Linked DNA regions of Canis lupus familiaris. Each later gene encodes a partner of the first gene's protein in a complex. Links are inferred from orthologs where the notes say so. Each region holds a gene or a part of one and is shown on either strand. Other genes may lie near its edges.

Evidence for each region. The genes of interacting proteins can lie anywhere in the genome.
Region 2: POLD2 (region 1) and POLD3 share a complex: the UniProt entries of both Homo sapiens proteins name them as parts of the both the DNA polymerase delta and DNA polymerase zeta complex. The link is inferred for Canis lupus familiaris from reciprocal best matches to the Homo sapiens genes POLD2 and POLD3.
Region 3: POLD2 (region 1) and DNA polymerase delta subunit 4 share a complex: the UniProt entries of both Homo sapiens proteins name them as parts of the tetrameric DNA polymerase delta complex. The link is inferred for Canis lupus familiaris from reciprocal best matches to the Homo sapiens genes POLD2 and POLD4.

The regions. Positions count from the first base shown.
Region 1 is NC_049237.1:14,412,954-14,419,112, reverse strand, and holds the end of POLD2 (DNA polymerase delta subunit 2), read right to left. Parts: intron 6,151-6,159; exon of another isoform or gene 5,593-6,150; coding exon of another isoform or gene 5,421-5,592; intron 3,687-5,420; coding exon 3,565-3,686; intron 3,401-3,564; coding exon 3,277-3,400; intron 3,000-3,276; coding exon 2,885-2,999; intron 2,723-2,884; coding exon 2,524-2,722; intron 2,242-2,523; coding exon 2,161-2,241; intron 2,005-2,160; coding exon 1,847-2,004; intron 1,622-1,846; coding exon 1,494-1,621; intron 1,038-1,493; coding exon 936-1,037; intron 606-935; coding exon 445-605; 3' UTR 361-444; downstream 1-360. UniProt on the Homo sapiens protein: Accessory component of both the DNA polymerase delta complex and the DNA polymerase zeta complex.
Region 2 is NC_049242.1:23,911,802-23,919,541, forward strand, and holds the start of POLD3 (DNA polymerase delta subunit 3), read right to left. Parts: upstream 5,056-7,740; 5' UTR 4,961-5,055; coding exon 4,901-4,960; intron 4,731-4,900; exon of another isoform or gene 4,537-4,730; intron 4,286-4,536; exon of another isoform or gene 4,165-4,285; intron 3,376-4,164; coding exon 3,320-3,375; intron 1-3,319. UniProt on the Homo sapiens protein: Accessory component of both the DNA polymerase delta complex and the DNA polymerase zeta complex.
Region 3 is NC_049239.1:50,602,488-50,610,480, reverse strand, and holds DNA polymerase delta subunit 4, read right to left. Parts: upstream 5,056-7,993; 5' UTR 4,837-5,055; coding exon 4,740-4,836; intron 4,521-4,739; coding exon 4,431-4,520; intron 4,215-4,430; coding exon 4,103-4,214; intron 3,729-4,102; coding exon 3,704-3,728; 3' UTR 2,677-3,703; downstream 1-2,676. UniProt on the Homo sapiens protein: As a component of the tetrameric DNA polymerase delta complex (Pol-delta4), plays a role in high fidelity genome replication and repair.

The DNA of each region.
Region 1 (6,159 bases):
CTTGGCAGATGTGTCGCTGAGCCCTTGGGGAGGGGAGGGGAGGGGCGGGGCGGGGTGGGGTGGAGGAGAACTGCCTTCCTGCAAGTGCCTGGGCCCAGCAAGCCCAGTGGGACCAGCGTCAGGTCTGCCCAGGAGCTCAACACCAGCACGCCAGGCAGGCTTGCTTTCTTTCTTTTAAGATTTTATTTTAGAGAGAGAGTGAGCAGGGGGAGAGGGAGAGAGAGAGAATCTCAAGCAGCCTCCCCACTGAGCTCGGAGCCTGTCGTTGGGCTGGATCCCACAACCCTGAGATCACAGGCTGAGCTGAAATCAAGAGTTGGATGCTCAACTCACTGAGCCACCCAGGGGCTCCAATCAGGCTTTTTTTTTTTTTTTTTTTTTCTTCAGGCTTTTGTTATAAAGCAAATGCCACCTCAGTGTCAACGTTGCACGGGTCTCAGTGAGTCAGGGGCTCAGACCCAAGCCCCCCAGGTCCTCGTCCTCTGCCCCAAAGCCTGAGAAACTGATGGGCTGGCAGGCCAAGCTGCGCAGATTCACAAGGCAGGCAGTCTGTGTGGTGCTGAAGTCTGGGACAGCCACCAACAGCACCCTCTGGTCCTCTGGGCCTGCAAAGAAGCCACATAGGTCCCCCACCTCAGGTTCTGGGTGTGCCTCGTCTCAAGGGGAGTCACCAGAAGCAAACAGGAGTTCCCCATCAGCACTATGCGAGTGCTGGCCATACCAGCTCCTTTGGACCGGACGCAAGGGCCAAGAAAGCATAAAGGTTAAAGGCTAAAGTCCAGCTGACCAAGCAGGTGTGGACCGGTCAGCCCTTGCTCAGGCCACCAACCCCAGGGGGCCTGGGGACTCCAGTGAGGCCTTCTCTGTGAGCCCTGTCCCCAGGAAAGAGTCCCTTGTGATAGTCCCCCCAGGCCTGGGGTCCCCAGAAGACTCACCTCGGAAAATTTTAGAGCCAAACTGGGGGGTGTTCCCACAAAAGTAGACGTGAGGGCAGTCCGGAAAGATGAACGGGTCGTTCTTATAGAAGGGGTAGCAACCTAGAGAAAACCCGCAGTGGCTGGGGCCTAGCCCTTCGCGGCGCAGGGTCAGGGTGCAGCTGTGCACACAGGGTGTGGACCCACTCCTGCCTGTTCATACTCGCTCAGGCTATGCTGTAGCAGCCCTGCCCTTCTGGACAACAAAAATGCCTCCAGACACTGCCCCAGGGCCCCGGAGTCAGGTTAGCATGTGCTGAGGGTGCCCTGCTAGGCGGGTCTGTGGCACTGTGCTCCTAATGTGCTCCCCACAGCCTTCTGCCCTACACAGGGCCATGGCGACACACAGAGCTGATTCCAGAGAAGCTTCCAGATCTGGTGTCAAGCTTTTGGACTATCCCTTAGGTCACGGCAGGACTGGTGAGTGCAATCCATGCTGCAAACCCTCTGGGTGTCAAGGCCCCGGATCAGGACTCCCTTGGCCCTCTGGCCCCACCCCACGTGGCTGAGTCCCAGTACCTAGCGTATCAGGGGCTGTGGGGCTGATGTGACGGATGCGCAGGGTCCACTCCAGGATCTCCAAGTGATCCTCCATGCTACTGTACCGGAAAATGTCACTCACGTTTTGTCCCGATGTCCCTAGGAATCTGCAAGGCAAGGCTCAGCTGGTCCCTACTCTGGGGGCTGCCACCCCTGCCCCCCAGGAGCCAGCCCAGAGCTCACCCAGCACTCTCACGGCTGGTGTCCCAAGCTGACTTAGAGAAAGAGTCCAGATCCACTGGGCCCTCTGCAGCCTGATTCAAAGCCTCCCTCCCAGTGCCACGGAGGCACAGTGCCAGGGGTCAGACTGGGGTGTGGCTGCAGGTGGCTACCTGACTCCATCGATGGTGGCTTGGTAGGGATTGGTGACCAGCTGGAGGGTGGAATAGGCAGTGGCCAGTGGGAACATGCAGGGGTGCAGGGGCTGCTGAGGGAGTGTGTAGTTGGTTGGGTCAAATTCGCCTGGCATCACGTCCACGGGTACCGATGCCTGGGGGCACAGGGGCAGGGGAGCTTGCAGGGCCCAGCGCCCTCCATACACAGCCCCTGGGGATCACCCCTTCTGCTCCCCCAGCCCGCCTTCCGGTGCCCGACCCCAGCCTCAGAGGCTCCAATCTCATCACTGGCCAGCCGCTGGCTCGCTCACACTCAGTTGCAGGAGGATCTCATCCAACATTTTGACCGCCTCCACGCTGGCTGCCTGGGTTTTCTTGGTTAAGTACTTGGCCTGGGGATAGAAGTCCATAGGCTGTCAGGCCCCAAGAGAGGTTCAGATCAAAGAGACACTCAGAGCTCTGCCTGGGCAGCGGAGAGCAGAGCAAGACCCCACAGCTAGGGGACAGAAAGAGTTCTGTGCCACGGGCCCCCCCGCCCTCAGAAAGCAGGGCCTGAATCATTGTAGGGCCCCTGCCAAGAGACACGCGAGACCCCTGCACCCCAACTCTCCCTGGAGAAGCAGGGGCTTGAATGGGTGGGCCCCGTCTCAAGGCCCCCACGGGTGGGGCTGTACCTTGTTGATGGAATCTCTGCTCTGGGTATTGTGGCTCAGGAGGTTCCCGGCGAGGATGACCCGGGACACATGGGCGGCGCTACACTGCTCTCCCTCGTCCCCCAGCTGCCCTGTCACCACGTCCACCAGCAGCTGGGTGCCCAGCAGGCTCTCACCCCCGCCTCCGCCCAGGCCCAGGCCAGACACCAGCAGCACAAACCTGTGGGAGAAGTCAGGGTCCTCCTGGGTGCCGAGAGCAGGTGACCCCGCCGCCCGGCCCCTTGCAGGCTCTGCCACGGTCACAGGTGAGCTGGGGACACGGAGCCCAGCACATGTGATTCCCCTGGACCACTGGCCAGGCCCCTGAGCGCCTGCTCGTCACCTGTCTGTGTCCAGGGTGGGTGCGGGCTTCTGAGGAGCAAGCTCTGCAAAGCAATGGTCCTCCACCAGGAACTTCCCGCTGTCTCTCACAGAGCCAAGCACAGCCAGCACTGTCCCTAGGGGGCAGCGGTGTCAGGCTCCAGGAGGGAAGCCCAAGAGGCTACCCCCTCCTTCAGGCACTCAGGGGCAAAGCCAGCCAGTTTCCTTCTGCCATGTGGGAAAACTCTCACTGAAGACTTGGGCCTGAGCACCTGCTTCCTGGGGTTACTGCCTCTGGGTGGAGGCTGGAACCACTGACCCCCTTCTGGAGCCTCACACACTGCCTGCCCCTACAGCCATCATTCTAGGGAGGCAGGAATGCAGTAGCACCACAGGCACAGCCCACTGCCCCACCTGTGACCAGCTTTGACGCGTCAATGCTGCCTTCCAGCTTAATGCGCTGTAGTTCATCTTCCAAGACCAGCTGGTCGTCGGGATGGATGTACTTGCTCCGAGGAGGCTGCGGCAGCAGGTTGTGCTGGAATTCAGAGATGGGGGTGGTGTTGGGGCCGGAGGCTCCCAAACCACATAGGTGAGATGTCACTGCATCCCACACCCCAGGGGGCAGAGGCCCAGCCCTGATCTCTGTGTCCACTACAGGTGGCCCTCCTGGTGCCCCCTGCAGGAGCTGGCCAGCCTCACCTCTTCGCTGATCTCCCGGAGGATGGATGGCTGAAGTGGCATGGCCTTGAAGAGGGTCCCCACCACACAGCATTTCTCCCCAGGCTGCAGCTCACATAGCTTCTTTATTTGGATTCCATCACCTGGGTGTGACAGACACATGCTCAGAGACCCGGCAGCCCTCCTGGCCCTCCTCGGGGCGCCGTAACAGCCTCACCCAGCACTGCAGCCTGCGGCCCAGCCTCTGGAGGTGCAAGGACACCCCCGACACTAACAGACTCGACCCCAGGACAAAGGGATGTGGCTGGGCCCCCGTGTCCCATGTCCTCGTAAGATAGGCAGACATGCAGGAAAGCGGGCAGCCACCAGAAACTAGAAGAGCCGAGGAAGAGGTCCCCCGGACAGCCTGTGGAGGGAGTGGCCCTGCCAGCACCTGGATTCAGAGCTCCGGTCTCCAGAACGGACGCAGAATAGATTTCTGTGGTTCAAGCTGCTGGGTTGTCTGTGATAGCAGAGACCAACTAGGGACCTTATACAGAGTATTACGTCACTTATCCCTAAGTTATATCGTGAGTTCTTAGAAGCATGCCCAGTCTCAGTCCAGCCTTCCCCTGAAAGCTTTAGAGAGGCACGATGTGCAGGGCTCCCCCAGGCAGGCAAGAGGAAGGCTGGTGGGTTTGTCCGTCAAGACGCTGGGCCTGGAGTAAAGTCTGCCTGAAGCAGAAGGGATAATGCAGCAGCAGGACTGGCCCCTTCCTAAGCCCAGCTGCCCTTAGCATGAGCCCCTTCTGCCCAGAATAACCAAGAACATTCCACAGATCTACACCCTGGGAAGTGGAGGCTAGTCATTCCAAACAAGATAAGGAGGCGCCAGCAGCAGAAAGATATGCCAATGCCACAGAAACAGACCCAAAGCCTGTCTGCTGAGCCCTCACTCAGCCCCTGGGGGCAGCACTGAGCCCTGTCCCTGGAACCTACCCACGCCTGCCAACACGCCAGAGTAGGCCTTACTGCTCACCGTGTGCTTGAGGCAACAGAGGCACTGAGAGGCTAAGGGACGCACCCAAAGTTGCACAGCTGGGATGGAAGGTGCCCGTTCAAGCACCGGGGAGAACCACGCATCCCTGTGTGGAGGGCAGGACCTCTGTCTGGCTGGACAGCATGTGGGCACCGGGCCGGGCACCAGAATCAGAGTGGACAGCACAGCCTGTCCTCACCCTCACCAAGCTTACAACCCCAAGAGGGAGAGACGACAGCAGTCAGCGAGGGATCAGCCACTGTGACAGGTGCTGCAGACACAAAGGAGCCAAGGCGGAAGGTAATGAGAAAGCCCCGGTGGCTATTGTGGCCTCTTGAAACCCATGACACTGGAGGTCATGAGGGAAGACGGAGGAAGAGCATGCCAGGGGAAGGGAGTATCAATAGGAAGAAAGAGCTTGGTGTGTTCAGGGGGAGAGAGAGAGAGAGAGAGAGAGAGAGAGAGAGAGAGAGAGAGAGAAACGAGTCCCAGACAGGCTGAAGTCCCTGGTCATGTGGGGAAGCCGGCACCCACACCAGGCTGGCAGGCCTACAGTTGGCCGCTGGCCATCATCCAGCCAAAGCTCCACTCATCACGGGCCACTGTGTGAGCTCCTGACTGTCTGTGAGGGCCAAAGGGGACCGGGGGCCTGTCACCAGGCAGTTGTCAGCAGCGGTGGGGCTGGAAGAGAAACCTGCACCAGAACAGTGACACGGGCCTGGGGAAGGTCCCCAAGGACTTCAAGAAAAGTGAGGAAGGCCATAGGGAGCCACAGGAAAGAGACCCTCATTACGTGGCAGAGAACACGTGAACAGCACCATCCCTTCTGCAGAGATAAGAGAAAACGTCCCTAACATACCTGAGGTCTGGCTGTCTTCACGGCCTGTAATAAACCAGGGTCGAGTCTGTCGCTGGTGTGGGATGGGCCTGAGCACCACTGCTCCCCACAGTCGCGACCGGACCTGGAGCCGGGGAGGCCAAGGCTGGGACCAACAGATGTGGAGGGGTAACACGGTTCTCCCCATAAACATTTCAGATGAACTGAACTTGGCACGGAGAGCCACTTGGATCCACAGTGAGACGGGGAACGCGGCCCCAGAAAGGTGAAGGCACGCGTCCTGTTCCCCCGGGGGGAATCATGTGAGAGGAGAGGTGGAGGACGAAGGAGGTGGAGAAAGAAGACGTCACCCTGCCCAGGCCCCTGGGTTAGGAAAGACAGAGGAGCCCAAGGGAGGGGAGATTCGTGCCCGACCAGGACGGAGGGCCCGGAGGGGCAGCAGAAGACATAGTGAGCACTCAGGGAGCCCCCCCGGGGGGACGCAGGTGTTTGTGGACCTTGGCCCCCAGGGCCCGGTTCCTGGTCTGCATGCTGACATACTGGCTGGCCACGTGTGCGCACACAAGCACATCGCCAGCACACAGGACATCCCTACAGCAATGACACGATCACTGTTCCTGCCAGAACTAAGCCTCAGCTCACCTAGCCTCCCTTGAAAACCACCAATTCCTTCATTTAATCCTCGTAACAAGGATTTGTTACGAACAAGAAGTGAAGGCTCGAAGAGGCTGACTCTCCCAAGGCTTCTAGGGAAAGCTCA
Region 2 (7,740 bases), on another chromosome or scaffold:
CCATGAAGAAAAAGAAAAGACAACACATTCATGTTCATTGTGGATGTCAAGGCCAATAAGCACCAGATCAAACAGGCTGCCAAGAAGCTCTACAACATTGATGAGGCCAAGGTCAACACCTTGATCAGGCCTGATGGAGTGAAGAAAGCATATATTCAACTGGCTCCTGATTATGATGCTTTGGATGTTGCCAACAAAATTGGGATCATCTAAACTGAGTCCAGCTGGGTATAAATCTAAATTTCTTCACCAAAAAAAAAAAAAAAAAAGTGCAAAGACAACCCACGGAATAGGAGAAAATTTTTGCAGATCATATATCTGATCAGGTGCTCACTTCAGCAGCACATACATATTTGATCAGGGTCTTGCATCCAGAATATATAAAAAATACTCTTTACAATTTAACAAGACAACTCAGTGAAAAAAATAGGCAAAGGATCTGAGTAGGCATAGTTACACAAATGGCTAATAAACACATGAAAAGATCAACATCATTGGTCATTATGGAAATGCAAATCAAAACCATAATGATACCAATTCACACCTACTAGGAGATGGCTAAAACAAAAAAGATGATAAAGACTTGGCAAGAATGTGGAGAAACTGCAACCCATAACCTACTGCTGGGATTTTAAATTAGTGTGGCCACTCTGAAAAACAGCTTGGCAGTTCTTCAAACTGTTCTATGACACAGACATAGGTATAGATCCAAGAGAACTGAATATGTATATCCACATAAAAACGTGTATACAAATGTCCATAGTAGTATTATTCATGATTTCCAAAATGTGGAAACAACCCAAATGTCCATCATTGTACTATTTAAGTGTGTTATGGGTTGAACTGTGCCTGCCCCCACACACACCAAAAAAAGATATGTTGATATCCTAAACACCAGTACCCCAGAGTGTGGCCTTCTTTGGAAAGAGGATCTTTGCAGATGTAATTAGGTAAAATGAGGTCATACTGGAGTAGGGTGGGCTCCTAATTCAATGACTGGTATCCTTATATGATGGCCATGTAAGATATGGCACACAGGAAGAATGCAATGTAACAAGAAAGACACTGGGGTTATGCAGCTATAAGCCAAAGAATGCCAAAGGTTGCCAGCAAACCACCAGAATCTAGGAAGGAATGAAGGATTCTTCTCTATAGGTTTCAGAGAGAGTATGGCCCTGTCAACACCTTAATTTCAGATTTCTAGCCCCTAGAACTGTAAGATAATAAATTCCTAATGTTTTAAGCCACACAGTTCATAGCATTCTGTTATGGCAGCCCTAGGAAACTAACTTGCCATATAATGGAATATCATTCAGCCCTAAAAAGGAATTAAGTACTGATATATGCTACAACATGGACAAACCTTGAAGACATTACGCTAAGCAAAAGAAACCAGACACGAGACTATATATTACAGGATTCCATTCATATGAAATGGCCAGGATAGGTAAATCTATAGAGAGAGTTTACTAGTGATTGCCTAATGCTGGGAGGGTGGGGGAAGGATGTGAAAGGAGTGGAGAGAAAATGCTAAGTGCGTGCTAATGGATACAGGGTTTCTTTTGGAGGTGATGAAAATGTTCTACAATTAATTATAGTGATGGCTGCGTAACTCTGTGAACATACTAAAAACTACTGAATTATACATTTTCAGTGGGTGAATTGTACAGTATGTGAATTTTATCACAATAAAGCTGCTTTTCAAAAAAAATTAAGAAAGTAGTTAACAGAGTGATATTACAGAGAGGAAGGGATGGGGATACCTGAAATAAAGCATTAGAGAAGGGTGGTTGCAAAAAGTAATGTGTGACATTTGAGCTAAAACTTGAAGGATGAGAACAGCTGGGAGAAGAGCATTCCAGAGGGAATGGTTCAAATGTTCTAAGTCAGAATGAGCCTGGCATATTTGACGGACAAAAAGATGAATATGGCTACAGTTTAAGTAAGGTAGAGAGAGGCATGGGATGAAGTTGGTTGAGAGACAGGGGCTAGACAGTGTGTTAATTCTATAAAAATTACAAGCAAAGTAACTACTATAAAATCGCAGGCAACTTTATTTCATCTCCAGCCCTCAATATGCACCTTTAAGCCCCAACAGGCTTATATAATAATAGTTATTTCATAAATATCTATAAACATAACAATTAGTCATATATGTCCGTTCTGAAAGTTACCTGAAACCCTTGGGTCTGGGCCAGCACTGCCATTAGCAACAGAAAATCTCAGATAAAGGTCAGTCCAAATTCATCCCTAGGCCAAGAGTTTCAGGTCTTGAAGGCATAATCATAGCCAAAGCCAGATTCTAGGTCTGTCAAAAGTAGCCCACATAAAGCCAAATCAACCGATTCTAGTTATCAGGAATTTTCTAAGATTCATGGAACATTGCCTGACTCAAAGAAAGCTCCCATGACTCAAAAAATTGGGGAAAAAAAAAAATCAGACCACTTTAGGAATAAATTGAACTAAATGAGTATTTAACTCAATATATATGCTCTCAGCCTATTTACCAATTCCTCCTCTTGGGATAGAGACAAGATTTTTAAGAAATTTTGGAAGTTAATTCAAAAGCTTGCCTTTTCCCTTTTGGCCTCAAGTTGAACTACAAGTTTCAGCAAGCAAAGGTGATAAAGCAAAAGTTCAAGAAAGGCAATGCTCTGCATCATCCTGAACACTCCCATTTTAGTTCATTTAAATAGTCCTCCCCAGTACACCTGTTGACCTCATTATGAAAGTACTTCACTAACACCCAGATGTGGGCCTAAGGAGCACATGTGAAAATGTAACGAAGATACAAGATGACAAGCATACAAAATCTGAGAAGTAGCCCGTTTAATAAATTTGAAGTAACAAAATGATGTTAACCAGAGGCCAAGGCTACTAATAAATCCAGCAAATATACAACCACATATTTGTATATAAGTCCACCTATCTCCTAAATAAATACAAATTTAGTGAAAGGTAGTAAAAATAGTATTCTTTCCTATTTTCCAGGGGAAAAAAAAATTCTTTTTTTTTTTTTTTTTTAATTTTATTTATGATAGTCACACACACAGAGAGAGAAAGAGAGGCAGAGACACAGGCAGAGGGAGAAGCAGGCTCCATGCACCGGGAGCCCGACGTGGGATTCGATTCCAGGTCTCCATGATCCCGCCCTGGGCCAAAGGCAGGCGCCAAACCGCTGCACCACCCAGGGATCCCGAAAAAAAAATTTCTAACCTCAAGGCTATCTGCAAAGCTTAAAACAAAGCAAAACAAAACAAACAAAACACACACACACACAACTCCAGTGTGAATAAAAATCGTAGTAAATTGTACTTACTGTTTGGCCTGGTTAACATGAACCCCTAGTGTATAGCTCAGCCATTTGTATGTCACCTGCAAGAAGAAGGAGTTGGTTTTTAAGTGTTAAAAAACATTAATGACATTAACATTAAATGATTCCAGCGTGCAGGTTAGTCCCAGGGGCTCCTAAAGATTCCTACTCTCAGATGATTGTGCCTTATAAATTACAGCGGATGCCACCCTAGTTTTGCCAAGAACAGTCCATCTGGGTAGGTAGGACTGAGATATTTATCTTACACTAAAAAGTCTGTTTCACAGGCTAATTAATACAAAAGTCTAAAATGAAAGGCTGAATATACATACAAAGAAAAAGCTCGCATTTTCCTCACATTCTTTGTTTTACCCTTTATTCACACTGTCCTTTTTTGTGGCCACCACTGATAACTATTAAAATTCACCCAGAAGCTAGATTACTTTGCAGTGTATGACATAAACGTCTAAGGAAAAGCTGCAGCCGTGCCTGTTTGCTAATGCAAACATTAGCAGGCACAGGTGGTGCAGGGGCCAGGGAATTAAAGAAGTGGATGGGGGCAGCCCGGGTTGGCGCAGCGGTTTAGCGCCGCCTTCAGCCCAGGGCCTGATCCTGGAGACCTGGGATCGAATCCTATGTGGGGCTCCCTGCATGGAGCCTGCTTCTCTCTCTGCCTGTGTCTCTGCCTCTCTCTCTAATAAATAATAAAACAAAATATTAAAAAAAAAAAAAGAAGTGGACGAATGCTGTATTTGGGGTTAGACTGGAATCCACTGGCATCAAGCCTTGGTCTTCCTTCCATCCTTCCTTGAACTCTCTTGTCAAATGTCACTTCCTTGGATGCTCCTCACCTCTTAGAAGTCTTCCAATTCTAAATGCCGAGTTTCCAATAATTAAGAACATAGGTGAGGCGAAAGCATTAGTAAAAGAGACAGATCTAGGTTGGAAAACTGCCTATCCTTCACTAACTACAAGTAAGTAATGTGGTTCCTCTGCTTCAAGTATAGGGATACGTCCGGCGCCCTTTGGGGTCGCTGTAAAGATTAAATGCAATACTGTACATCCCAGGCTCACAGCAGGCATTCAATCGTCACGGTTGTAAAGTCCACTCGCATTCATCTTCTCAATCTTTCATTCCAACCCTGAGGGGGCTGGTCAAGCCTACGAATACCAAATTTCCTAGCGGAGGAAACTGACGGTTGAAAGGTGAAACAACTAGTCACCTAACCCAATCACGGCACAATTCTTCAACAGTCAACTTGGGGCTTTAAACCATTTCACCTCATCGGACAGACGCAGAAACACCTCAGAATTGTTATCTACCAGGGCCCTTCCCTCCACGCCTGTTCTTGGCCTCTGCTCCTTGCACAGCACCCGGCACGCCCAACCCAAGCGACGCGGACTAGCGCGCGCCAGAGGAATTCCCCCTGCGAGCCCCCGTGAGCCCTCGCGAGCCCTGGGGCACCAGACGTGGGGACCCGTCGCCCCTCGGCCAGTCCCCACCAGGCCAAGCGCAGAGGGGTCAAGGCCCCTGCCGCCCTCAGGACTCCAGTCTCCTGCCCACATTCCCCAGTCCTAGCTCCTCACGATCTTGTTCTGGTCCGTGACGAACTCGTCTATATTTTCCAGATAAAGCTGGTCCGCCATCGTGCGGCACAGCTGCGAGCCCCGCCACCACAAACGCAGCTCCCGCCGGCGGGAAACGTCTTTCCTCTCTCCCGGGTCCGGGGTCGTTTCCCACAGCAACGGAGGCGACGCGCTACGGCGGCCGCCCGAGGGTCAAACTAGTGACGGAGACGGCGCCGGCTCAAGTAGGCGGAGCTAGTAGGTAGGAGCCAACGCAAGCGCGGACTAGGAACCTGCGCGGGACCTGGGGAGGGTGTTTCTGGAGCCCTGGTTTTAAATCTCCCGTCTGCAATTTAATGCCTGACCCAAAGCAAAATACCTCCTCGTAGGAGCCACAGCCTTACCACCTGTAAATTGATAACATAATCCTTGCCCTTTCATACCTTTATTCAAAAAATGCTTATCAACTACCTACCTATTCCGGGCACTGCTTAGATGCTGGGGACACAGCGGTGAATGATCCAGACAGAAATAAGCCAGTAATTTTAGTAGAGTGATGGCAGCTGGAATGAAGTACTCCTGGTTATAATCCCTCAGAATTGAGAAATTAGGGGTGGCTTTCCAGAAGGGATGGGATAAGAGAAATGTTTCAGATAGAAGCAAGAGCATTTGCTGGGAAGAAAAGAAAACACCTAGATTTGGAATCTAAATCTTTAGGTAAATGGTGGTGCATTTGACTACTGAACTGTGGAAGACTGAGAGAAAGAGCAGATGAAGAAAATCAAAGAATTCTCTATGGCCACAGTTATAATGGAGAAAACATATAAAACCCTCACACCATGCCTGTACACAATAAAATTAATAGCAGTTGGGTTATATTACTATACACAGGGTACACTGTATTAGGTGCTTTGAGAGTGAGATTTCATTTACTCCCTAGAGCAACCCTTCAAATGGATTGTGTTTGTCCATATTTTATAGAGTAGATTGCTGAAATTTAAGAGAGGAAAGATGAATTTTCGAGGTCACAGGGTTGGACGGTAGTGCTGGGATAGGAATTCAAGTTTCTTTTCATTGTTCCACAGGGATGGGAAGAAAGTCAAGATAATTGACCAGATTCTTGACGCTATCCCCATGCCAAAGGGAGCAAATGATAATACTATATAGAATACTTGACCCAACATGGCCCTAGGTATACCAGTATTAAAAGGTTGTGTGATGTTTAGAAGCCAGATTAGTGGTTAACCTTGAGACGCCTACCCAGCTTGAACATTCCTACCTCAGGGAAGAGGAGCTGAATGGAAGACATGTGGGCTTTGGAAATATATTTTTCTTTTAAAAAGGAAGCAAACAAACAAAAACCTGGGATTGAATCCCAGCTTTACCACTTCCTAGCAGTATGGCTGTAGGCAAATCACTTAACGTCTCTAGTCCTCAATTTCATGATCTTTAAAAGATGGGACAATAGAACGCAGTGGTATACTAATAAATGTTTAACAGCCAAATTTAAAAAGCCCTGATTTGTAGTGGTTGACAACATCTGTGATGTGTATACTGCCATCACAGCAGACTTCAAACTCCTGATAGTGACATCACTGAACACAGGTAGAGACACACAATATCACACAATTACTTCCACAATACATGTAGAATAAACAAATAACCTCAAGAGCATATATGGCAGTAAAATAATTAGGAAGTGGTTATATTGAATATTTGTTGTCTTTGTTTTTAATGATTTAATTATAAATTTATAGTTTAATTTTTAACTGTGGCTCTCCTGAAAAATTAATAAAAGGAAACCTAGTTTGGGGTCAGCATGGGGAGCTCTCAGGGCCTATCATTCCTTGTCAATTACCAACTCAACAGGCCATGTTCTGTGCCTGGGGCATCTGCAATGTAAAATTAACTCCTTATTCCAGGCATTGGGAACATCTTTCCTATTTGAAATGTAACCAGCAAATCTCCAAAAGGGAAAAGTACCACCATTTCTACCTCTACCAGGAAGGGAGGGAGGAAGGAAGGGAAGGAGGGAGGGAGGGCACCTGAGTAGCTCAGTGTTTGAGCATCTGCCTTTGGCTCAGGTGGTGATCCTGGGATTGAGTCCTGCATGGGGCTTCCCCGCAGGGAGCCTGCTTCTCTGCCTGTGTCTCTGCCTCTCTCCATGTGTCTCTCTTGAATAAATAAATAAAATCTTAAAAAAAGAAAAAAAGAATTCAGTCCCTCTTCCTTAAAGATGAAGCTTCACATCAATGTCAAAAACAAGAGCAGTTCTCCAGGAATCAGAAAAACCAACTAAAGCATTTCCTAAGCACATGAGGCCAGACAAAACTTGGAGATGGTAGTGTCAGCTGATACCAGAAGTGAGAGCCATAGGATCAAGATTCTCAGCCTTCATGTTTCAAAGAGGTTGATGTTAGAAGACGGACATTCCTATTTCCTCCTTTTCATCCCCACTTCATCCCAGAAATGATTGGCATAAGAAAATCTAATGATTGTGACAAGGCATGGGATGGGAAATCTAGCCTGGACCCAATATTGGGGAAAACATGAAGAGTAGTCAACCCCTGCAGGCAGGACCCCCAGACTAAAAGTAGGGGAAAGAGGCCAGGCTTCTGACCAGGAAATGGGGCCTGTGGGAGCAGCTCAGGAGCACAACCAGCTGGCTGGGCTATGGGGCCTCAAATCGCTGGGGGTCCACAATGGTCATTCCAGAGTCCTGGGGATCCAGAACTTATTAACACTAAGGTATTTAGCATTAGATCATTCATACATTCATTCATCAAACATTATTCAAGGCCTCCTGTCTATCAGGCCCTGTGTGACAATGGGAACACAGCATGCTCTTCATCTCTGGGAGT
Region 3 (7,993 bases), on another chromosome or scaffold:
ATCACAGAGCAGAATACAAAACTGGCCAGAGATGCTGAAGATAAAAGATACAAGTAGTAAGAGTATTTAGGGTAGAGGTGTCTTGGGTCAGCCTCCAGCTGCCCTGGGGGGGGGGGGGGTCTGCACTCATTCTGCAGCGGGAGGGTCTGAGGAGGAAGGGTGTGGTGAGTGGAAGGGGTGAGGTCCTGAAATCAGGGAGAACCATGGCAGTGGGAGGCAGTTGTCCTGTGCTCAGGGTCCCCACAGTCAGGGTCTCTCTAACACGTGCTGCCCTCTCCTTCCTGAGGACTCAGTATCCATACCACACCTAGTTGCCCCAACATAGCCTGTGTATTACATTGGTTTGTTTTTAACTTTCCCTGCAGTTAGATCTCTGTTTAGCAGCACCCTGAGCCACCTGGGGCTGGGGATGGTGGTGCAGGTGCAGGGCGATGCAGTAGGGAAGGCAACCCTGGCTGAGAGTCCTGCCCTAGGGTTTCCTGACTGAGCAAGTCTCAGCCTCAGTTTCCTTATCTGTGAACCATGGCTGAATACTTACCTAATGACAGTGCTCTGAGTCACTCTGGTCAAACAGCAGCCCAGCAGATGGCATGGAGGGCCCTTAGTAAACATCAGACCCCTCCCAGCTGCACGAGGCTCTCAGCAAACAGATTCTCAAATGTTCCCACTGATACCATACCTTCCCACCCGCATCTACTCCCACATCCTTGGCCTCCCTTCCTGTCACGCTGGATGCTCCTACCTGAGGCCACCCTCTCCCTGGGCCCTGGGCCCAGCCCTTGTCTCTCTCACAAAGGCCTCACTCATAACACCCACCTTTGTCTCCTGTGGCAACGGTCCCCTCCCTGTTGGCTCACTCTCTCACTGTGTGATCATGCTGTAGTGTCACTCTATCCAAAACAAAAGACAAAATGACACATCAAAACCCCTCCCTTGAGGGGCGCCTGGGTGACCCAGTCAGTTAAGGGACAAACTCTTTTTTTTAAAAGATTTTATTTATTTATTCATGAGACACTCACACACACACACAGAGGCGGAGACACAGACACAGGTAGAGGGAGAAGCAGGCTGCATGCAGGGAGCCCGACATGGGACTCGATCCTGGGTCTCCAGGATCACACCCTGGGCTGCAGGCGGCACCAAACCGCTGCGCCACTGGGGCTACCCCCTCTGGCACACTCTTATACTGGCACTCATGGAAACTTCTTGTCCCCAGTGACCTCTGCATTGCCAAGTCCAGCATTCTGCCCTCAGGCTTCATTTTACAAGCCTCTCCAAAGCATCTGAGACCCTGGAGTACCTCCTGCCCAGGCCTCCCAGGCCCATGCCTCCAGATTTTCCTCCAGCCCCACCACCTTCCTTCTCCGTCGCCTTCTCCCTCTCCTCTAAGCATAGAAAGTGTAGGCTCATCCTTGGACCCCTCAGGTAACCTCAGTCACATTCTGGGCTCTAAACATCATCAAAAAATGCCGATGTTTACATTCTCAAATTCCGAGCTCGCGAGAATTCTAGGCTTGAGTATCCACCACCTACTCCCCAGCTCTGCTTGGGTGTCAAGTGTGAACTCCTGATTCCCCAGCATCCCCTGCCCCTCACATGGTCTTTCCCACCTTAGTCATGGGAGCTTTGGCTTTCCAGCTGCTCAGGCCAAAACCTTTGGAGTTCTCTCCTTGGCACCTCTCAGACCCACAGCCGACTGATCTCCCAACCCTGGTCCAAATCACCATCGCCTCTCTCGAGGCCAACCCCAAAAGCCTCCTGAGTGGTTTTGCTGCCTCTTCTTTCCCTCACCCCAGGAACTGTTCTCCACCAACAGCCAGAGTGATGTTTTCAACACAGAAGCTTGATTATGTCATTCATTGGCTTACAACTCACCAATGTCTTCTGTCTCACTCCGATTAAAATCCAGATTCCTTATCTCAGCCTGAAAGGCCTGTGGGATCGACCTGTTACCTCTCTGGCCTCATTTCCCAGCATACTCCTCTTGCTCCCTCTGCCGTGGGTGCACTGGCCTGCACGCTGTTCCTGGACCAGGGTGTAAACACTCCTATCTTGGGAAGTATGCTTGGTATTCCTCTGTCCAGAGCTCTCCCATAGGTGCCAGTCCCATTCCTATATTTCATTCAGATCTCTGCTGAGATCCCACCGTGTCAGAGAGCTTCCCTGATCAACCTCTCCAAGCAGCCCCGGCATTCTTTGATCTCTATCCCTAATTTTGCCTACCACTGACCACCACATGGCTGATTACCACATACAGGTAATATTTACCTGTATGTCTTCTTTTGTCTCCTCACCACTAACAACACCCAGGAGGACCTCTAGAGCCCGGCATACAGCAAGTACCCAGCAGATGGGCAGGGGCATGGCTGTAGACATGAAGAGCCTGGTGCACATGGCCTCTCATCTCTGCACCACCACCAGCCTGCCAGTACTGCCGAGCAACCCCACACAGCTTTTCTGAGCTTCAGGCTCCTTCTCTATAAAATCTACCTTAACAGCCCTTTAGGAACGTTAGAGATGATTCATTTAAGATCCTTGAGGCACGGGTAGTGGCGAGTACAGTGGGGGCTAGAGAGGCCACTTGGCTGCTCTATAGGCCTGTCCCCAAGGAGTTAATAGCAGTGCTGTCTCTGCCCAGGATGCAGAGCTGGACAGCCAGTAAAGATAAACACAGAGTGAGGAACACGGACTCCATTCTCCATATGATACCATCCCAGGGGCCCCTAAACATTGTTTCTGCTCTACCCAGTTCCCCCACCAAAGCCCACCAGATGATGGCCATCTCTGAGCAGGACCTGCAGGTTGAGAACCTCCTCAACCCTGCTTTGGATCCAGGTGGCCCCAGTGTGGGAAGCAGAGGTGCTTGGCGGGAATGTGTAGGTTTGGACCTTATGAGGTGTGAACCCTATGGATTCTCCTCTGACAAAGGACCCATTTTTGTGAGGTGGGCCACACTGGGCAGGCTAGGTAGCCGGTCAGGTCCGTTTTCTCTGGCTGGTCTTCGAAGGTGACTAGAGTTGTTTCCCTGTCCACCACCAGGGGGCGCCAGAGGCTGATCAGCTCTAATGTGGACTTGTCCCATGGTCTTTTAAGGTGTCTTTCTTCTGGCCAAGGTCTAGGCCTGGGCAGCAAAGGGAAAGCATAGTTCTGGTTCTCTCCCACCTGTCAGCTTCGGCTTGCTGGTTGCTGGCAGCCCACTCAGGGCCACATTAAGGGACTGGAGGTTAGGCTTCCAGACTCAGTGTTCTTTATTGATAAGCATTAGGAACCCCTTGCCAGTTCTGCCCTTAGATTCCCAGCTTTGAGTAGGGAGTGCATCTTTGCCTCTTAGACATCTGCCTGAGTCTAGCTGTGTCCAAGGCTGTGCTTATTTGCCACACTGTTCCCAGGACCACAGTTTTTATGGTTGAAGAGGTGTGTAGCAGGCATCCGAGGGTCATGGCCAAGTCTTTATCCTCAGAGACAACTTTCCATGTAGGAAGTATAAGCTTCAGCTGTGTTGGCTCTCAGAGGGAGCTCCAGGAGCCTGCTGGTTAGATGGAGGGCTGAGCCTCAGAGACCTCCAGATTCAGCCTCTTTTCTCTATAAGATTCTTTTCCTGCTAAAGGTTCTTCACGGCAGAACTGAGCCAAGGGGGCAGCAACTGGCTCTCACTTGTGTCTTGAGGTCCTGGGATAGTGGGCAGGAAGTCTTAAGTGGTACCTCACAGGGGATAGAGATGCCAGAGGCTGTGCAAAGGAAGGGGTGGGGGCAGAGAAACCAGAGAGAGACAATTAAGTCCTTGATCTGATTTCACCAGCCCCAATTCTTGGCCATGGCTTATTGTCCCTGGCCAACCCCTCTGTACTAAATAGATAGTCCCTTGGGTCCTGGGTGCACTCTTACCCCACCATTAGCTCAGAGATAAGGATTATTAAAGCAATGTTCTGCTTTCCTGAGCCAAGCACCTTGGAGATCACCTTCTTGCCTGTTCAGCAAAGCCCCAAAGCCCACATTCATTTCTTCCTCAGGTCAGGGCAGTCCCCACCCTGCGGGCCAGCAGGCTGGTGGTGCCTGATGAAACCCCTGGCTCCCCTGAAAGCCCTCCTGGCCTGTCTCTGACCTGCACTGGAAGCGGGGATCTCCAGGGTGGGTCTGTAGCACCTGACGCACTTCTGGGGGAGGCTCCAAGCCCATCTGCTCCGCCCGATGCCAGCGCTGCAACCGTGTGATCCCTGCCGGGGTGAGAAGACGACACTGGCACCTCATGGGGGGTGGGGAGGAGTTCAGGCTGGAGAATGTGTATGGAGGGGTGTGTCAGGGCCTCCACACCCCCTAGTCTCGGGAGACAGTGCCCGAGAGGGTCAGGCAGGGGCGTGGGTTGCTTCAGGGACCTGCAGGTGACAGGACTGTCTCCAGGATGTGTTCCTGGGGCCTGAGAGGGTTCTCACCTGTGCAGGGCCCATACTGCCAGGCGAGATCAAACTGCCTCAGCAGCTCCAGCTCTGCTTCATCCACGCTCAGGGGCTGGGGCTCTTCCCCTGCAATGACACGCGGCTCCTCAGGCCTGCCCCCGGCCTCGCAGCTGCCCCACTGCTCCCCGGCCCTCACCAGCCCTTTGCCTCTGCCGGCCACTGCCAGGCCTGCAGTAGGAAGTAGAGGACATGTTTCACTTCCCCTCGCAGCACCCCCGTCCGCCCGCGTCCTCGCAAGCCCCTCGCTGGTGTCCAGTGCTCCCGCCCCCCGCACGCGGAAGAGACCTAGCTCCGGTGCCAGCTCCCCCTTGCTGTGCCCAGCGGGGCCCTCCCCCCTCTTCACTACGGGGTAGGAGTCAGTGATGAGCCGCTTCCGGCCCATGGCGGCCACCCAAGCAGGCGGAGAAGGAGGCGGCTGCGGGAAGGAGAGGCCAGCGGGCACGAGAGAGACAGCTGCTGAGAGAGAGAGGGAGAGAGGAGAGGAGAGGGCTGGGGCCAGCGGGCGAGCCCGGGGCCAGCGGCCGGCAGACAGGGCGACCCAGACAAGCCGAGAGGAAGTTCGCCGGTTCCAGGGAATGACGCGCGGCCCCCGCCCCCGCAGGCGCACAAACAGCAGAGACCCAAGCCAATGGTTGGCCGCCTCTGCGGGGCGGGGCCCGACGCCAGCCAATGGCAGGCGGCGGAGGCCGAGGGGGCGGGGCGCCGGCCGCAGCTGTGCTCCGGGAGAAGGGGTGAGGCTGGGTGGGGGACCTGTCGGGACGCCCCAGACTGCGCCTCCTCCTGCTGCCCCCCCGTCGGGCCGCAGCGGGCCTCGGGGGACTAATAGAGCGTTATCCTCGGCCTCTCACTTCCCGTTTTCCCTTCCTAGGCAAATGTTCTTTTCAGCCTCAGTAATCCCCGTGGCCGCTCGCTAACTCCCTAGAGTCCAGCTGGAGCCTCCACTCCCACCCCCCGTCCCGCAGAGCCTTGTGGGGGCAGGTCTGGAGGTCCGCGGAGCGTTGGGCTGATCCAGCCCCTTCCTTCCCAGCTCCCACCCCACCCCCACCGGCCCCAGGAGACCCGGCTGGAGAAGCCCTTGGGTTCCAAAGCTCCTTTCTCACAGTCTGTGCCCAAAGACCCTGCCCACTCTCAGTCCAGGCAAGCGTTGGCCTCGTCGACTCTCCTGGGGTCAGTACGCGCCCATGCCCACCCTGCTAGTCAGGAAGATTCCACACTGAGCAGGAGGCCAGCGTGCTTGTAGCCCCACTTTTTTTTTTTTTTTTATCAGTAAAATCTGCCCTGTCTCACCAATGTGACAGTAAGAGCAGAAAATACCAACCATAAACTAAACACTTACATGGCACTTACGGTGTGCCAAGTACTGTTCTCAGCACTTTCCCACATACTCACTCAACTAAAATAGATGTAAAATGAATGGTTCCTTAAAAAAAAAAAAAAAAAAAAAAGTTCTTTTTTTTTTTTTTAAGTAATCTTTACCCCTCAACGTGGGGCTTGAGCTCATGACCCGAGATCAAGAGTTGGGTGCTCCACAGACGAGACAGCCAGGGGCCCCATAAAATGGTTTTTGAAAGTAGGAAGTGCTGATCATCACAGGCATTGTGGGGCCCCAGTTAAATCACGGGCCCTCTGTGCCCTCTCCACAGAGGAGCTCAGAGGCTAACAGGGTAGGCAGATGGGACACACAAGTTGTCAATGCAAGGACAAAATTACTAAGAAACAGGAAAGGGGAGAAGGGTGGGTCAGAGAGGACTTGGACCACAGCGTTAGCTTAACACTGGAAGACCTCCTGGAGGAGGCGGGCTGCTGTAAACAGTGTCTCTCAATTCTCCACCCATGACCTTTGTCCCTTGGGCTCCTGTCATCGCTGAGTCACCCCTGCACCCGCCTCCCCCTCACCAACTTCCTGGCAGCAGGCAAAAGTGCTGGTCAGTGGGAGTCTGGGAATCAGCACAGGGACCAGCCCAGCTCTAACTGCCCTTTAGAGATCCTATCTGGTTCTTCCAGGAGTACAAGGGTCCACTCAGAAGTTTCTGTCTACAACCTCATCCAACTGCTCTGGGCTCTGGGTGCTCTAAGATACAAGTAAGGTGGGCGTAAGAGAGGAAAAGCTCTGGAGAGGAGACCACCAAAGGGAAGGAGCAAGAGCAGCCATGTCTTCAACGGCCTCCTCCTGCCTGGCTCTCCCTATCCACTTCCTTGAGGAGGGCTGAGTGGGAGTCAGAGCTCATGAATGTACTGCACAGAGCTGGAGGGCCCTTCCCTGCTTTATTTTCTGGGCTGGGCCTGGCCTAATCCCCCATCTGCCTCATGGACTAAGTGGGGCCCATATGGAGGGAGACAGGGGCCTGGTGCACTGGGGAGGAACACAGGAGGCCTCTCTACCAGGCCCAGGAAGGGCTGAGGTGCAGTGTCCAGTCAGGCACTGAACACTCTACAGAGGGACGGTGCCCAGGCTCCTCTCCCCAGAGGGTGTTCCCAGAGGTGTGTGGCACCTCACTCCCGAGTCCACAGAGCCCTGAGGGAGTAGGAAGCCATGGGTGGGGCAGACCCCTCCTCATTCCTGATCCTTCCCACCCCTGAAAGCTGATAGCCGTGGGGCCCTGCCACCGCCCAGGGAGCGTGAAATGGGGTGTGCCGCTGGGCGGCCACAGTGGCTCCTACTGCCGCCCGAGCTCATTCCCTCTCTCCTCTGGCACCCTGACCTGCTCTGTGGGCACTGCCTGGGCATCCTGCCAGCTGCCCCCAGCTCTGCCTGGCCCGGGCCAGGCTAGCCTCTCCCACCTGGCCTGGAAGATGTCCCCCCAGTCCCGGGGAAGAATCAGGGTTGTCAACTCAAGTGCAGGCGCCCGAAGGCTGGGTTTCTCCCCTGGAGTCCAGAGAACTCTCCACAGGCAGCATTGCCCTCCTGTCCTAGTCAGACAATAGTGAGACTGAGTGCCCCCTGGGAGCTTTGGAGCCACCCCTGTCAAATAGACATCCTTCCCCAACTCCGTATCTCACCAAGTTGATCCCTGGGGTGTGCCGGCCACTAGAACCTGGGCCTGCCCATCCTCAGGTCTTTTCCTTCTCCACTCGTCCAACCCCGTCTGCCTCCTCTCACCTTTCTTCCTGGAACCCCTTTCCCTACTCAGGCAGCCTCCTGGCCTGTCCCCAAAACTGCTGTCACATGGGGACTATCACAAGTCAGGCTTCAGGCTGGAGGGCCAGGCCAGAGGTCTGAGTTGGGAGCTACCTTCTCCCTGGGTCAGGGAGTTTCCTGAGACCCAGGAGCCTGTTTCTGTGTCAGCTCTGACCCCCAGAGGCTGGTGATGGGACTGGCAGGAGTGACCTTTGCACCTGGGCCTGGGAACACTCAAAGGGCTTGCCTGCCAACATCTCCGGAGAACCCAGGAGAAAAACAGAGCAAAGAATTGGAACAGGAGCCCAGCACCTTCCTGAAGGCTGAGGCCCACTGCCTACTGCTCCAAGGGGAAGGGGGATTAGGCCTGGCTTAGCTCAATGTGGCAGGGTGGGGGGGCCTCAGCATTGCGCAGGCGCAG